2 linked regions of the Astyanax mexicanus genome follow. The protein of the gene in region 1 purifies or fractionates together with the protein of each later gene. This does not show direct contact. Links are inferred from orthologs where the notes say so. Each region holds a gene or a part of one and is shown on either strand. Other genes may lie near its edges.

Region 1 (7,479 bases):
ATGGTGGCAGTGTGTTAGTTAGTGTGTGTTGTGCCTATATGTGTGGATCAGACACAGCAGTGCTGCTGGAGTTTTTAAACACCTCAGTGTCAGTGCTAACCCTAGAATAGTCCACCAACCAGAAATATCAACACAACAGTGTCCGGTGGACAGCATCTTGTTGGCCGCATCATGTGACCACTGATGAAGGACTAAAGGAGTTTCTGTCTCTGACTTTACATCTATAAGGTGGAACTAGCTAGGTACGAGTGTCTAATAGAGTGAACAGTCAATGAATACAGTGTTTAAAAACTCCAGCAGCACTGCTGTGTCTGATTTGTTCATCCCAGCCCAACACACACTTAAGCCCTTTCCGGATGGGATTAGTTTCTCAAGGGTCCTCTGTGATTTTATTCCCGTCCAGAACGACCATGTATTTGTTTTTTTTTCCAGGTATCCTCTGAGAAAATTAAGTGTGTCCTCTGAGTTGCCTACGGTGAACTTTTTGGTCCTCCGGTAACTTTAGTCCCTTCCAAATTCACATCTCTGAGTTTTTTCTCTGAGATTCACGTAAACACAACAGCGAGTGGAAATGGAGGAGCTACTGAATGTGATGTCACGTGACTGAGAAAGCCTAAAAACTCATTGGTCCTCCTGTTTTTTTAATTGCAGTCTGGATGCAAGAGTTTTATCACTGAGTAGAAGTGTGAAATATTTCTCACAGACGTCCCCCTGAGAAAATAATCCCGTCCGGAAAGGACTTAACACACCTCCAACATGCCAGTGTCACTGCAGTGCTGAGAATGATGGACCACCTAAATAATCAGGTAGAAAGGAGGATATTAAGGTATACAGATAAACAGCTCTACAGTCTGTAGTTATAGAAGAGTTTAGAAATAAGGAAGTGGTCATTATATTTGACTAAACTGTGTATATCTATCTATCTATCTATCTATCTATCTATCTATCTATCTATCTATCTATCTATCTATCTATCTATCTATCTATCTATCTATCTATCTATCTATCTATCTGGGTCAGTGTAAAATATGTTTACTCTGTAGCAGAGCTGCAGAGGTCTGGCCTGTGTGAAGTTAGTTGTTAAAGTGCGGCTCTGTGATTAGTGTGAGGAATCCAGAGTAAATGACAGTGAGGGAGGCCAGAGGCTCAGCGATCGCTGCCACTCTCACCCACAGAGCCGCTGTGCTGGGCGGTCTGCCCCTGCCTGTCTTAATGTGGTATTTCCTCAGCTCCTCCTCAGAGTATCCTGCTCTGCTGCTCCAAGAACAATGTAAACTAAATACCCTTCTGATTGTAAAATCATAGCGAAGCATATCACATGAAGATTTAGACTGTTTCTGTGATCGTCAGTATAGAATTTCAAATATGCAAACACATCCTGTTTAATGATAACACTGGCAGTCAAAACGAATTGCTCAGATGAGCATACTGTCACACACTGACGTTTAGCAGCTGTTTTGAATGTGTTTGGAGGATGTAGTATCCTTCATTCTATGGTGGAGAATCGCAAACAAACTTGATCTGCCAAAATAAGACAATGCATAATGCCACACACTGCACATGAAGTTCTGGAGTGGGCTGATGAGTGAGGAAGTCTAGATGATGTAATGAACATCCAGTCTTCAGTCACCATATGTAAACAGCACTGGGGACTCGTGGGACTGTGTTGAGAAATGTGTGGAGATACCAGGATATTATAGGAGATAATTGTGCACAAACTGTTCTTAGTTAAAAAAATCAGATCTGAGCAATTATGACTTACAATATGTATGATTCTTCCATTTTCAAAGTTCTTATAGCTTAGCCATCTTTGTGGAGAGCAGCAATTCTGTTTCTCCCATCCTCAGAGAGTTCTTTGTCATGAGCTGTCATGCTGAATATCAAGAGCCCAGTATTAAAAAATTGTACCAAAAGCACCAAATTTAACATTCCTGTGCAAGTGCCCTACGCTAATGTGCCCGCTCAAACCTGTGTTGGCAAGTCTGCAATGTTCTGCATTTCAAACCATTAAGGCAGGGATGTGTGTGTAGTTACAATGCTGGGGATGTGTGTGTCAGGCTACTAAAAGACTATGACGTTAGGGTACGCAGTCACACTTAGGGTACATGTAGGCTATAGCATAGGTTTGATGCAGAAGCATAAATTGGCCTTAAGTCACATGACATCAGGGAGGAATACAACACAAGTAAGCACAATTGGTTTACTGTGAGCTTGTGTAGTATTGCCAGCTATTATTAGAGATTAGTGGTTGTGTGTTGAATTATTTTCAAAAAACAGTAAATCTACTGCTATACAAGTTACACACTGACCACTATATTCAAGTTTTATTTCTATAGTGTTGTTTCATGAAAAGTAAAAAGTAATAATAAAATATTTGCTGAAATGTGAGAGGTGTGTACTCACTTTTGTAAGTTACTGCATCTTCTCCCACAGTTCTTGAGATGTTAACAACGTTCAGATTTATCCTCACACTAAAGAATGGGGCCTAAAGTTGGGTGTTACAAGTGCACACATTGAAACATCTGAGCATCCAACTAATACCTTTGAGCAGCCATATGGCAGACACAGCAACCACTTAACAACACCCTAGTATCCACTGAGATACATTGTAGCAACCATTTAGCCACAACATAGCAACTACTAAGCAACGACTTTGCAAAAACAGAGCAACTTCATGGAATACCGTAGAGACCACCCGCAGCCATTTAAACACATCATAGCAGCCTACAACCAATCTACAAAACAGTCTTGAAAAGTGTAGGGGTGTGTTGAAGCAGGTAAACAAGTGAGAAAAAAGTAATCTGGGCTATCGTCCTGCCTTTTCAGGCACTTTGCTAGTTATATTATAATTTGATTACAATAACAGTAGTAATAAATAAAATTGTATTCTAAAAATGTTATATGTTATAAAAATGCCTTATGTGTTCAGTTAAGTAATATGGTGTGATTTTTTTTGTGATTTTGTCTAAAATGTCTAAATTAAGACATTTTATTTTATCTCCTTTTATTTACATTCATTTACATTTTAGACAGCATCCCACTTTTTTTGGAGTCTGAAGTTAACATCCAACACCCGGTTTGGTAAAATTGGTTTTGGTAAATTAGGTAAGCTAACCCCTTACAATATACAGGATATTTTCGAACTCTTAAAACTCTCTCTCTTGCACACATTCCCCTTTTTAACTGGAATTTTTACCATTATAAACTCTGTAATTGCTGAAAAAAAAGGTTTTTAATAATGCACTTAGGTGCAAACAGTATACTATGATATTATTAAATACACATGAAGAAAAATGAAAATGTTACAGTAACTAAAAATAAAATGAATTATAGAACATAAAGCAACTATAAAATAAATAAATAGTACTAGAAGTAAATAAACAAACAAATAAATAAATAAAAACTGAAACGTATGGAATCTAAATGCTTTTAATAATGTGCTCATTTGCATAAAAATAATGTTTACTTCACTATATACAAATAAAGACAAAGTAAGATGATACAATAGCTAAAAATCTAATAAATAGTAGAAAAAAACAAGCAATAAATAAATAATGTAAATGTAAAGTCTCACAATGTTTATACTCTAAATCTTATAGTGTATAATTAACTGTACGTTCTACTGATTGTATATTCTCTCTCTCTCTCTCATTCCAACCCATTCATTTCCCTTCTTTATCTGAAATATTTACTATTATAAACTCTGTAATTGCTGAGATAAATGTTTCTAATAATGCACTTAGGTGCAAAACAGTATACTATGATATTATTAAATACACATGAAGAAAAACGAAAATGTTACAATAACTAAAAATAAAATGAGAACATAAAGCAACTATAAAATAAATAAATAGTACTAGAAGTAATAAATAAATAAATAAATAAATAAATGAATAACGTATGGAATCTAAATGCTTTTAACAATGTGCTCATGTGCATAAAAATAATGTTTAGTACACTTTATACAAATAAAGAAAAAGTAAGATGATACAATAGCTAAAAATCAATTGAATAATAGAAATAGAAAAAAATAGAAAATAACCAAACAATAAATAAATAAATAAATAAACAAACTCATGTTTATACTGTATATCTTATAGTGTATAATTAACTGTAAGTTGTATTGATTGTATATCCTCTCTCTCTCTCTGTGTTGTTGGTGGTGCTGCTGGTGGTGGGTGCAGGTTGCTCTCGGTGCAGCAGGGCGGGTCTGCAGGAGGAGGAGGAGGAGGAGGGGGAGGAGGGTTTCTAAAAGTCCTCTCAGCCATTTCATCTCTCCAGAAGGCGGTCGACCCTGAGCTCGGTGCTGCTGGAATCGTGCTGGACTCTGCTTCTCTCTCTCTCACTCTCTGTTTATCGCTGCCGGTAGTTTTGCCCTGGTTTCGAGTCGCGATGGGAGCGAGCACATCCGCGCAGAGCCCCGGGGAGGAGGTGGAGGACGCCGAGGAGAAGGTACCGCACTGTGCATCCACACACACACACCTGACCCCCTCACACTCACCCCCACATCCAGCTGTGACGCACGCACTCACACGCAGATGCGCACACCACATGCTCCCCCATGGTGAACTCAATCTGTGAGACAACTAGTAAAGAAGTCGAATGTCTGAATGTATGTTTACATGTGCAGAAGTATCATCTACTGCTGACACAGGTGTTCAGCCTACACACCTGTAATATAACCTCTATAGAATAGCACTGACCAGTAGAATGGGACACTCTGCAGCAGGTGCACCTGAGCCTATAGATCAACATGCCCAGGGTGGGCTGGTGAGGTATAGATCCCCCACCCTAGAATTGAGCTGTGGAGCAGTAGAAATGTGTTACTTTTGGAATTATCTGGGATAACTGAAATTATCTAAAATAATTGGAATGACCTGGAATAGTTGGAATAGTCAGAATAATTGGAATGTTCTGGAATAGTTGGAATTATCTGGAATAGTTGGAATGAACTGGAATAGTTGGAATAGTCTGGAATAGTTGGAATTATCTGGAATAGTTGGAATGATCTGGAATAGTTGGAATAGTCTGGAATAGTTGGAATTATCTGGAATAGTTGGAATGAACTGGAATAGTTGGAATAGTCTGGAATAGTTGGAATTATCTGGAATAGTTGGAATGATCTGGAATAGTTGGAATGATCTGGAATAGTTGGAATGATCTGGAATAGTTGAAATAGTCTGAAATAGTTGAAATTATCTGGAATAGTTGGAATAGTCTGGAATTGTTGGAATGATCTGGAATAATAACAATGGTCTGGAATAGTTGGAATGGTCTGAAATAACTGGAATGGTCTGGAATAATTTTAATGATCTGAAATATTTGGAATGGTTTGGAATAATTGGAATGATCTGGAATAGTTGGAATGGCCTGGAATAGTCAGAATAGCATGGAATAGTTGGAATGATTTGAAATAATTAGGATGATCTGGAATAATTGGGATGATCTGGAATAATTGTGATGGTCTGGGCTAATAAACTTGTGGCTGAATGCAATCAAATACTTACAGCAATTTTCTAGCATGTAGTTTTAAGTCATTGATGCACAGTACACATCAAACTGTTTTGAATTCATATGAATAAATATTAATGAACAAGTGTCCACAAACCTTTGGACACATAGTGCATCAGTGACACCGAAATGGATTGAATATGCAGGTGTCCTGGTCAGCCCTGGTTAATCTGCAGTGTGTTCTGGATATCCTGACTCTAGATTACAGCAGTGTGACCCAGTCATGCTCCTGAACTTCAGCCCTGCTTAATGTTTTTTTTTCCTGCTCTCCTGCACACCTGACACGGCTTTCAGCGTATTAATAAGCCCTTCATGAGCTCATAGTGGTGTGTCGGACAAGGAAAATACTTCAGTATGTGAAGCAGGGGGGCTGTTTACGGCTGCTGGATGAGCACTGGCATCATATGTATTGGAGTTGTCTGTGCTGGTGTTGTTTATCCTGCTGTGCTTCGGCTAGTGCTGCCTGACTGCAGTAATAAAGAGAGGAAGCTGTCCCGTAGCAGAGTCTGCATTTAGAGGTCACTGCTGTACTGTAAAGCTGCGCTGCATCTGAGTGTGTTCTGATGTTGCATAAGGAGGGGGCAATATGATGATGTTGTATTGTTACTGGCATAAATTCTGTCAGAGTGTGCTTCCCTGACTTGCTTTGTAAGATAATGTTAGTTGTGCAGTGTGTGCAAATGTATTATGTATTAGAGTGTCCCTTTCAAATGAACAAAACTGGGCATAAATGTGTGACAATGTCATCAAATACCTTAATGTTATTGTCTTTTTGCCCTGCTGCCCACTTTAAAGGTTATGCACTACACTGTAGTGTATATATAATAGAAATTAAGATGCATGAGAACTGTGATTAAAAATCTTAAACATTTATAAATATGAACTTGTTTTCTTTGTATAATGTGAGGTCTGAAAGCTCTGCATCTTTTATCTTATTTCATTAATTTCTTATTTTTTGCAAATAAATGCTCTAAATGACAATATTTTTATTTGCAATTTGGGAGAAATGCTGTCCGTAGTTTATAGATTAAAACAATGTTCATTTAACTCAAACATAGAACTGTAAATAGCAAAATCAGAGAAACTGATTCAGAAACTGAAGTGGTCTCTTAATTCTATTCAGAGTTGTATGTTAATTCATGCCAAAGACAAAACAGTTAACAAATGCCAACATACAAACATTAAAAATTGCAGAAATTGAGGCTATATCCATGTATATTTTGAATACAGAGAACACACTATGCTAAAATGAACTAGAAACGATGTTAGCTTACCTGAATAAAACTCCAAAGGGTTGAGCAGCTCACATTTACATGTAGTTGCTAAGGCTGATGCTAGGTGGACACTAGGATTAAACTGTTTAGCAAGAGGTTGCTCTAAAAGGCTAGCTTAGCATAGTATGTTAGCTAGATAAAATTAGCTCACCATAACTTGTCAGCTAATAAAGGCTAGCTTGTCATAACATGTTAGTTATAAAGATTAACTTGCTGTAATGTAGCTCTTTAAACAGCTAGCTCACCATAACATGTTAGTTAGTTAATAAAATCTAGCTCGCCCTAACATGTTAGTTATACATGTTACCTTGCTGTAATGTAGCTATTAGCTACAAACAGCTAGTTTACCATAACATGTTAGTTGGCTAATAAAGACTAGCTCACCCTAACATGTTACTTATAAAGGATAACTTGCCAAAATGTGACTATTAGCTATAAACAGCTATCTCACCATAACGTTAGTTATAAAAGTTACCTTGCCGTAATGTAACTATTAGCTACAAACAGCTAGCTCACCATAACTTGTTAGTTGGCTAATAAAGGCTAACTTGCCCTAACATGTTAGTTATAAAGGTTAACTTGCCAAAATGTAACTGTTACCTATAAACTGCTAGCTAACCATAACATGTAAGTTAGCTAATAACGGCTAGCTCACCCTAACATGTTAGTTATGAAAGTTACCTTGCTGTAATGT
Region 2 (8,200 bases), on another chromosome or scaffold:
AGAATTTTCCCGGGGGACCTTAAAAGATGCTGTAACAGCTGTATACAAAGGACAATAAGTGGCAAACAAGCTTCTGAAAAGTAAGTTATGTTTATTACCTGTGATTACCACGGTTGTGTGCATATTATTAAAAGTTCTGCTTCACAAAACGCCTTGTTTGCCACTTATTGTCCTTTGTACACATAGTGAAGTCCGAGACGTTACTGAAGACGCAGCTTAGCTGGTACAGCATCTTTTAAGGTCCCCCGGGAAAATTCCGTTGTGTTGTGACTCACTTCCGTTGTGTTGTGGTTCTATTTGCAGCGCGTTTTTCTATTTGCAGCGCGTTTTTCTATTTGCAGCGCGTTTTTCTATTTGCAGCGCGTTTTTCTAGTTGCGGCGCCTGTGTTGTAATTTTGATGGATGTGTTTTGTGCTTTTGCGGCGCTTTTCAATTTGCACTGCGTTGGGCTTTCTCGGCCACCGTACCCTCTGTACTGTCATTATTTACTTACTATTAGATTCAGACTGAATCAATTAATCAATCAATCTATATTAAACTTTCCATCTATTTTAATGATTCTCATTTATTTTTGACGCAGGGTTACAAAATGATGCAAGTCACATTTATGCTCATTTCTAAATTATACAATGATGATACTTGACTAGTTGTGCAGGGTTGGCTGAATCTATTTACTGATTCAAATGCTTCTTTTAAACTATTTAAAAGGATTACCAAGTCAACTTTATTCTCAATCCTAGCATATACTAAAACTGTGAGCGACACAAGTGAATCAGTCTGATGTTAATAACCCATTTTTCTTGGTGCAGGGCTGGCTGAATCAATTTATCATTGTAAATCAAATGTGTGATTTATTTCCCAAGCAAACTATCTTTAAATTTTTAGCATACCCAATGATGTTAAACTCAGTATATCAAACTAATGGTCATGGATCGTCATTGTGGGCACATGGCTGGCCCACAATTAATTTAATAAATCAAGTGATTCAAAAGCTTCAAGGATTGTCAATGCAACTTTATTGATATTTGAAGCCTATACTACCACAACTGACTGAGTGAATCAGTCTAATGTTAATAGCATCACTTATCTAGGTGCAGTACAGACTGAATCAATTTATTGAATCAAATTATTTTAGAGAGATTTAAGGTTTCCCCGGGTCAACTTTATTGGCATTTCTAGCCTATGCAACGACAATTGCTTAAGTGAATTAGTCTGAGATTAATGATTCATTTCTTTAGGTGCAGGGCTGGCCAAATCAATTTTGTCAATTTAATGAAAATTTAAATCAAATCATTATTTTTTGTGCCAGAGCTTCTTTAAGCTACGTTAATTACTCTATTAAACTTTATTCTCATGTCTAGTATAAACAATTATAATACTTGGCTCTATGAATCAGTCTGAATTTCATGAGACATTTCTCATTTGATTCATAACTCGTTTCAAATTAGAATCAAACGTTTGATTCAAAGATTCATTTTTTTTAAAACTGCAATCTAATAACATTGACTCAGCATGTGAATCAGATTTGGATCACTTCTGTTCATTAATAGAATCCGACTCATCTTTCAAAGACACACAACGTGGAACACCGCAGCACGAATATTTACCTTGTTGTTTGAAATATGATGTATAAAGAGCATTATTCTGAATTTAGCCAGGTTAATAGCACCCCGCAGTCCCTATAAAGCGGACGCAACGAAACGAATCGGTACACTTTAAAGAATCGACTCCTACACCACAACCCGCATTACATCAGCGGAGTGTCCTTTTCCTAAAGGACAATTCTGCAAAGCAGTTTATCAACCCATAATATTCACCATACAGCTTTACAATAAAACCAGCCCTGCTGGAAAACGCCAAAAGAGGCTCTCACCACACACACGCACGCAAGCACGCGCGCATTTACGCAGTCGTTCACTTCAGTGCAACACTGCAGTGCACTGAACTACCTGCAAATCTGCTGGTTCTCGTGCTTTTTTGGGGTGGGCGTGCAATAAAAGCCTATATATGTAAACAACGGCTCAGCTGCTCGTGCACTAGATGCATTCAAGTTAAAAGGGCATTTCTCTGCATTTGTGCGCATGCATGATATAGGCTCCTACCTCTCTTCTCAGCGCTCTTCACCTGAGGTGGTGATGATGGTGAGGAAGAGGAGGAGGGTGACGATGATGAGGCACGCAGACTTTTGCTGCATTGCCTGCATTGCCTCGACGCCCCACGTGACTCCAGGCTGCGCTCCAAATGGCAGCAATTCTCGCAACCCATGTTGTTATGTTGTAAATGGGAGCTCACTTAAAAGGGTGCACTGATTGTAAATAGCAGATATAGCTCTTTTGCAAAAGTTTGGATGTAGAAAAAAACATTCTTTGGCAGGATGTGGGGGTGTTAGGTTTTCATTTAATTAAGAATGCCTTTGAAAAAAGTCTTAAAACAACAATAATGCATTAAAAAGTGACTTTTCATTAGTTTTATCACTTTTTGCCCGCAGTATTTTCGAATTCTCCCGTTCCACCTTAAATAGCGCTGCAGTTGCGTTATGGCGCCTTGAGCGCCAGAACGCAACTGCAGCGCTATTTAAGGTGGAACGGGATTATTCGAACTTTCAGCTGTAACTCCACCGTTTAACGCGTTTTGCTCCACAGTATGAAGTAACTGAACCTAGTGGGCGGTGTTTTCATGCATGCATCCCTTTCTAATGACCAAACCACCGCTTTTTACGCAACTTAAACCCATGCAAAACTTCTCAATAGTGTAAAAGTGTAGCACTTTTCTCACCTGTTATATCGTCTTCTATCACAATCGAGTCTTTGTCAGCCATCGTGTAACTCCTGTCTGTTTTCAGATCATTAGACATCCAACGCCAAGCGCTTCATCCACTTTCTCCTCCCTCTTTCCCCGTTCAGGACTCAAGTTTGTCCCCTCGACTCTCTTTTTTTCTGACACCTTGGAGAAAGGAAGTCCACTGTGGGCGATTTTCCGTCTGCTTAGCTCCCCCTCCAGCCCCCTGCTCGACCCTCCGGCTGCTTCCACTGACCTAATGACTCGCTGTGCCTCGCAGGGTCTGTGTACAGTGGAGATGAAGGGCTTGGCGAATCGATACTCATTCGATCCGTGAGAAAATGTTTTGATTCTTAGATTAATTCTTAACGATACTAAGTCAAAAAAGGAACTAAACGCTAAAACATATTTATTTTTATTAATAGCTAAAAATGTGTCAGAAAAATCAACTTAATGTCCTCAACCTTCTGCCTTTGAATTAGCATTTTACATTTTATCAGCATACAATAAAAAAAACGGTTGGATGGAGGGATAAAAAAAAGTGTTTTTATTGCATTTGCAGTTATTGCTTTTTTATTTGGCACCAATTCTTCACCATACCTTGGGGTATGTTCATGTTCTATTTGTTTTACTGTTGTGTTTCCAGCTGTTTAACCAGATTGGTAGTGGTGGGTAACTTTCTTTATACTCAGCTTTACTACAGTGATGTAAGTTTATTGTTAACACTCTGTTAACCATAGGATTTTCTACTTTTAGTGAGCTATGGTGTAGTAAATGTTAAACGTACAACGTTGAAACTATGTTGCCATATCAATGTTAATATACATGTTGTCTGAGTAAGAGAGAGTTACTTTAATCCATATCTGAACAATAAAAAAATAATCTTCTGAACTCCACAGTAGCAATGCCGTGTTTCCATTGCTAAAAAAAAAACTCAAAATAAAATCATTAATACGACACCTAGCACCTGGACTTTGGGGCCAAACTTAATTAATTTGTCTTAAAAATAAAATAATTGAATAATAAAATAATGTTTCCAAATTAATCGCATGTGTCACCCTAAAAAGCAAATTTATAAGCAGTACAAGCATATCAAAATCATCTATAGGCTTGACACAGCACCCTTACACACACACACTCACGCACACATCCTGAAAGGAAAGGTGGGGTTCAGAGTTGTGTTGTTTTAACACAATAACTCCAGCTTTGGCGGGTCCACGACCGGAACCCCACAGCTTTAGCTGCTCTTGATTCTAGTGATGAATTTCACCCTGAAATCTCCTGGAATCTGAAATTGTTCCTTTACAACAGAACTGAGCTGAACATTAAAAGCAACTGTACCTAATCAGCAAACTGACCCATTCAGAATAGTGAAGAGTGGTGAAAGTTCTAAAAGCTCCTTAAAGAACCTTATTACACATAATAGTTATGAATACACTGCCAGATACCCAACATACTGTATTAGAGTGTTAGAGTTCTGAGAAGATTTGGGTCTTAAAATGTACAACCCTACATCAGATAAGACTGGAACAGTATGAAAAATAAACTCTTTGACTTTAATTAATTGTTGACCGAATTAATCCAAAATAATTAATGTTTTATCTTTCATTTACAAATCCAATTTAGGTAAAAAGCTAAATTATCATTTTAAACAGGCATGATTTGGTAGCAAAACAGTATCTAGTCTTTAAAGATGCCCAATGAATCTCCAGTTTGTAACAAATGTTTAAAAAACGATTTTCCCCAAAAAAGACTGCATTTTCTCCCCTCTGCGATGCATAACATTATCAAATTACTTAAGGAATCTAAAGGAATTTTAGTGTTTGATCTAAATTCACAAACTCCACCTAAAACTCTACTGTTCAAAACAGAAGCCTCATGTTAATCCTGTCCAGAAGCAGCATCAACTTCTCTGGGCTCGGAGGCTCGGAGCTAAGGCTTCATTAGCAACCCATCCAAAAATCTGATTCTGTCATGGTATGGGGGGGGCGGTAAACTTCTGTGATGCAGCAATAACATATATCTTGGAGCAGGGGTCCGCAATTAAGTTATTTTCCGTGCCATTATGTGCTGAAATGGGATGGAGCGCTATAGACTAGTAGCTCTCCAACTCAGAGGGTTGTTGAACCCAATTGCAGAACAGTTGAATTCCAAGCAGATAAACCCAAGAGAAATGAGGGGGGAAAAAATGTTAAACACACCGCTCCACACACGGGATCGAATCCGACACGTCAGGGTCGCTGTCCAATACCCTGTTGATGCCCCAGCTAGTGAATTGGGACACACCCAAAAGTTGAGTTCAGTTTCAGTAGCCACAATCAGGCCTTTTAACTGCCAAACCTGTAAAATCAAGAAATATTGTAAATAGAACCTACCTGACAACATGAAGCAGAATAAAAGATCTCAAAGCAATACATTATTTAAAGACAGATGAAATTTAAAAACAGATGAGAAAACAAAGTCATTGATCATCAGTCTGGAAAAGGTTACAAAGAAAGAGCTATTTTTTTTTTTACAAATGGAGAAACCTTGGAACACCGGTGAAGTGTGGATGGCCTACCGACATTATTTGTATTGATCACTAATACTTAGGGAAAATATTTGTGGGCTAACGAGACAAAAGTGGAACTATTTGGAAGGTTTGTGTCCCGTTACATCTGGTGTAAAACTAACAAATAATTTCTGAAAAAGAACATCATACTGAACATAAAACATGTTGGTGGTAGTGTATGGGCTGCTTTGCTGCTTCAGGACCACGACAACTGGCTGTAATTGATGGAATCATGAGTTCTGCTCTCTACAAGAAAATCCTGTAGATGAATACACAGCCCAACTGTTTGTGACCTTAAGCTCAGGTGTACTTGGGTTCTGCAGCAGAACAATGATCTGAACCAGCAAGTCTACCTCTGAATGGCCTAGTCAAAGTCTGATTGAGATGCTGTGGATGATTTTAAACAGTTCATGCCAGGAAACGTTCCAATGTGTCTGGATTAAAACTGTTTCATAAAGAAGAGTGGGATAAAATTCCTCCACAGAGATGCGAGACTCATTGCTAGTTATCACCAAGGCTTGATTGCAGTTGTTGCTGCTAAGGTTGGCACAACCAAGTTATTAGATTTAGGGGGCAAACACTTTTTCACACAGGGACATGTAGGTTTGCATAGATTTTTTTCCCTTAACAAATTATCATTTAAAAACACCTTTTTATATATTCACTCAATACATTCTTTTGATATTAAAATGTGTTGACAAAAAAAAGCAAAGAAAAAAAACTGTAAAATACTTTTCCACAGCACTGTAAATACACTAATAACAGCTAACAGAGATAACCCGGTACTGCACCTAGGACCTGGTTCTGCCAGGAGAAAGATAATGGCGGTGATGTTACTAATGGTTGGTCCTGTCCGGTGCAGCCAGGCCACCATAAAGCAGCTGCTTACCCCATCTAGTGGTCACTTCAAACCTCTGACCTGTAAGGCCCTCTAAAGAGCAGATCAGTAGCAACAAAAAAAAAAATGTTTCAACACAGGTCCAATCAGAGTGGAGTGTGCACTTGTAAGCTGAGGTCAGCTTTATTGTTAGTTATTTTGTCACCTTTCTGTGCTAAGGTAATCATTCACATACTATATGTAGAGAAGTATTAAGACACCTACTCAATCAATGATTTGTCTGAAGTCAACGGTATTAAACAAAACAGTGTCATGGATCTGAGGTGTGTAAAAAAAAAAAAAAAGGAAATTCTGAGTACAGACATGCCAGCAGAAACATCTGTTAATTGCTCTTCCTGTTCCTGCAATACATGAATTAGTTTGTTGAATGTTCTTAAAATCTATTTTTCCCCTTAGCAGACAGATGCTCTATTTTAGCTTACTAATATAATAATACCTGCTCTGTAAATTAAAACACTACTCTGGGAAAGCTCAAAAGTTAGCATTTATTTAGTCTTACTTAGAAGCTGAGCACTGTAAGACTTACATGTAGTAGCAAGATGGTCTCTCAAACAGAGGTGACACTGCCCTTGTATAGGGAAGTTTCCCGCCTTTGGAGTGGGCCATACCACTCTTGAACCTAGGGCAGGGGGGTATTATAGTGGTGTCTGGTTTGATTCGGCAATGATATTGTTAGGTAAACCTTTTGTTTATGCTTCAATATATATATATATATATATATATATATATATATATATATATATATATATATATATATATATATATATATATATATATTGTGTGTCAGTGTTTCTATATTATTTAGGATAAAGCCTACAAGTTGACTATAATTGGGAATTGAGTTAATTGGTCTTGTTTAGTTGGACTGGCCCAGAGAAGGGGCCAATGCTTAATAGTAGTCGGCGCCATTGTTGTTTATGCTCATATTTTCGGTTCCCAAGCTGTTCAAGTGAATGGGGAGTTTGAATGGGCTTTTCAAAAACTGGCCTCTCTCACATTCTGTGGTAAATAAATATGTTCAGAACCCTGTACGTTTTATTCTGTGTACATTTACCTCCTTAATATCATTGGATCCTCTGAATTTTGAGATTTAAGGGTAGTTTTTAGAAAAATGCTAACTTTAAGTTAATGCTTAACTCACGTCACACTACAACAGCTGGTCAGATCGCGTTTTGGATTCTTCTTCTTCTTCTTCTTCTTCTTCTTCTTCTTCTTCACAGATGAAGCAATTAAACAGGTGAAAACTCTTTCAGTGATGTTGAGCAGTGTAGTCTGTGTTTGAGCTTTAAAAGGCAGATAATAAGAGAAAATGGCTCTCAGTTCAGCAGCGCTTTCCCGCAGGTTTAGTATTTAATTACAGTCATTAGTTTATACTAATTACAACACCTGACCCAAATAATCACTAATCACACTGAGGCGACCATGAACCGGAAACACCACATTTTTTCACACCATAATAAAGACGGTAAATGTTAAAACATGGTACAGCTGGTTTTGGAGGATCACAGACCTGTTTTAGTAATTTTATGCTGTAACACTCTCAGCTCTCTTTAGTAAGCGCAGTTAGTTCATTAGTTGGCTCAGCTGTGTATAATACGCTGTACAGTTAGGGCCGGAGTTCGCTGGTGTTGCGCCGAAAAGAGTTCCCTGCTGATCTCTGCAGCTGTTCTGGGAGTAACTCTGCTGTAGCATTAGCTTAAAAGTTAGCATTTTTCTCATTACGACTCTTAAACGATCTCGTTATTCAGAGGATCCAGTGACACGGAAGCCGTTCGAGGACTACAGAATGATACACAACCTCAGTGGTCTATAAAGAAGAAGCTCCTAGAGCCAGTTTAGTTTGTGTTTTGCACCCTAGAGGCTGGTAGAAGTAGGGGGCACAGATAGTTAGCTTGTTTCTCTAGCAGGCCTATAAAGACAATTTTTCTTTCTATATATTTTTGTAAGTTTTGTTTATTTGCTTTCTTTTCTTG

What was found.
Region 2: the proteins of akap12b (region 1) and hspa12a purify together in Homo sapiens (affinity purification with mass spectrometry; 3 studies listed by BioGRID and IntAct, with this or other methods). This does not show direct contact. The link is inferred for Astyanax mexicanus from reciprocal best matches to the Homo sapiens genes AKAP12 and HSPA12A.

What each region holds. Positions count from the first base shown.
Region 1 is NC_064408.1:79,034,845-79,042,323, forward strand, and holds the start of akap12b (A-kinase anchor protein 12b), read left to right. Parts: upstream 1-4,265; 5' UTR 4,266-4,392; coding exon 4,393-4,452; intron 4,453-7,479. UniProt on the Homo sapiens protein: Anchoring protein that mediates the subcellular compartmentation of protein kinase A (PKA) and protein kinase C (PKC).
Region 2 is NC_064421.1:30,075,828-30,084,027, reverse strand, and holds the start of hspa12a (heat shock 70 kDa protein 12A), read right to left. Parts: upstream 3,052-8,200; 5' UTR 2,855-3,051; coding exon 2,776-2,854; intron 2,164-2,775; exon of another isoform or gene 2,103-2,163; intron 1-2,102. UniProt on the Homo sapiens protein: Adapter protein for SORL1, but not SORT1. Delays SORL1 internalization and affects SORL1 subcellular localization.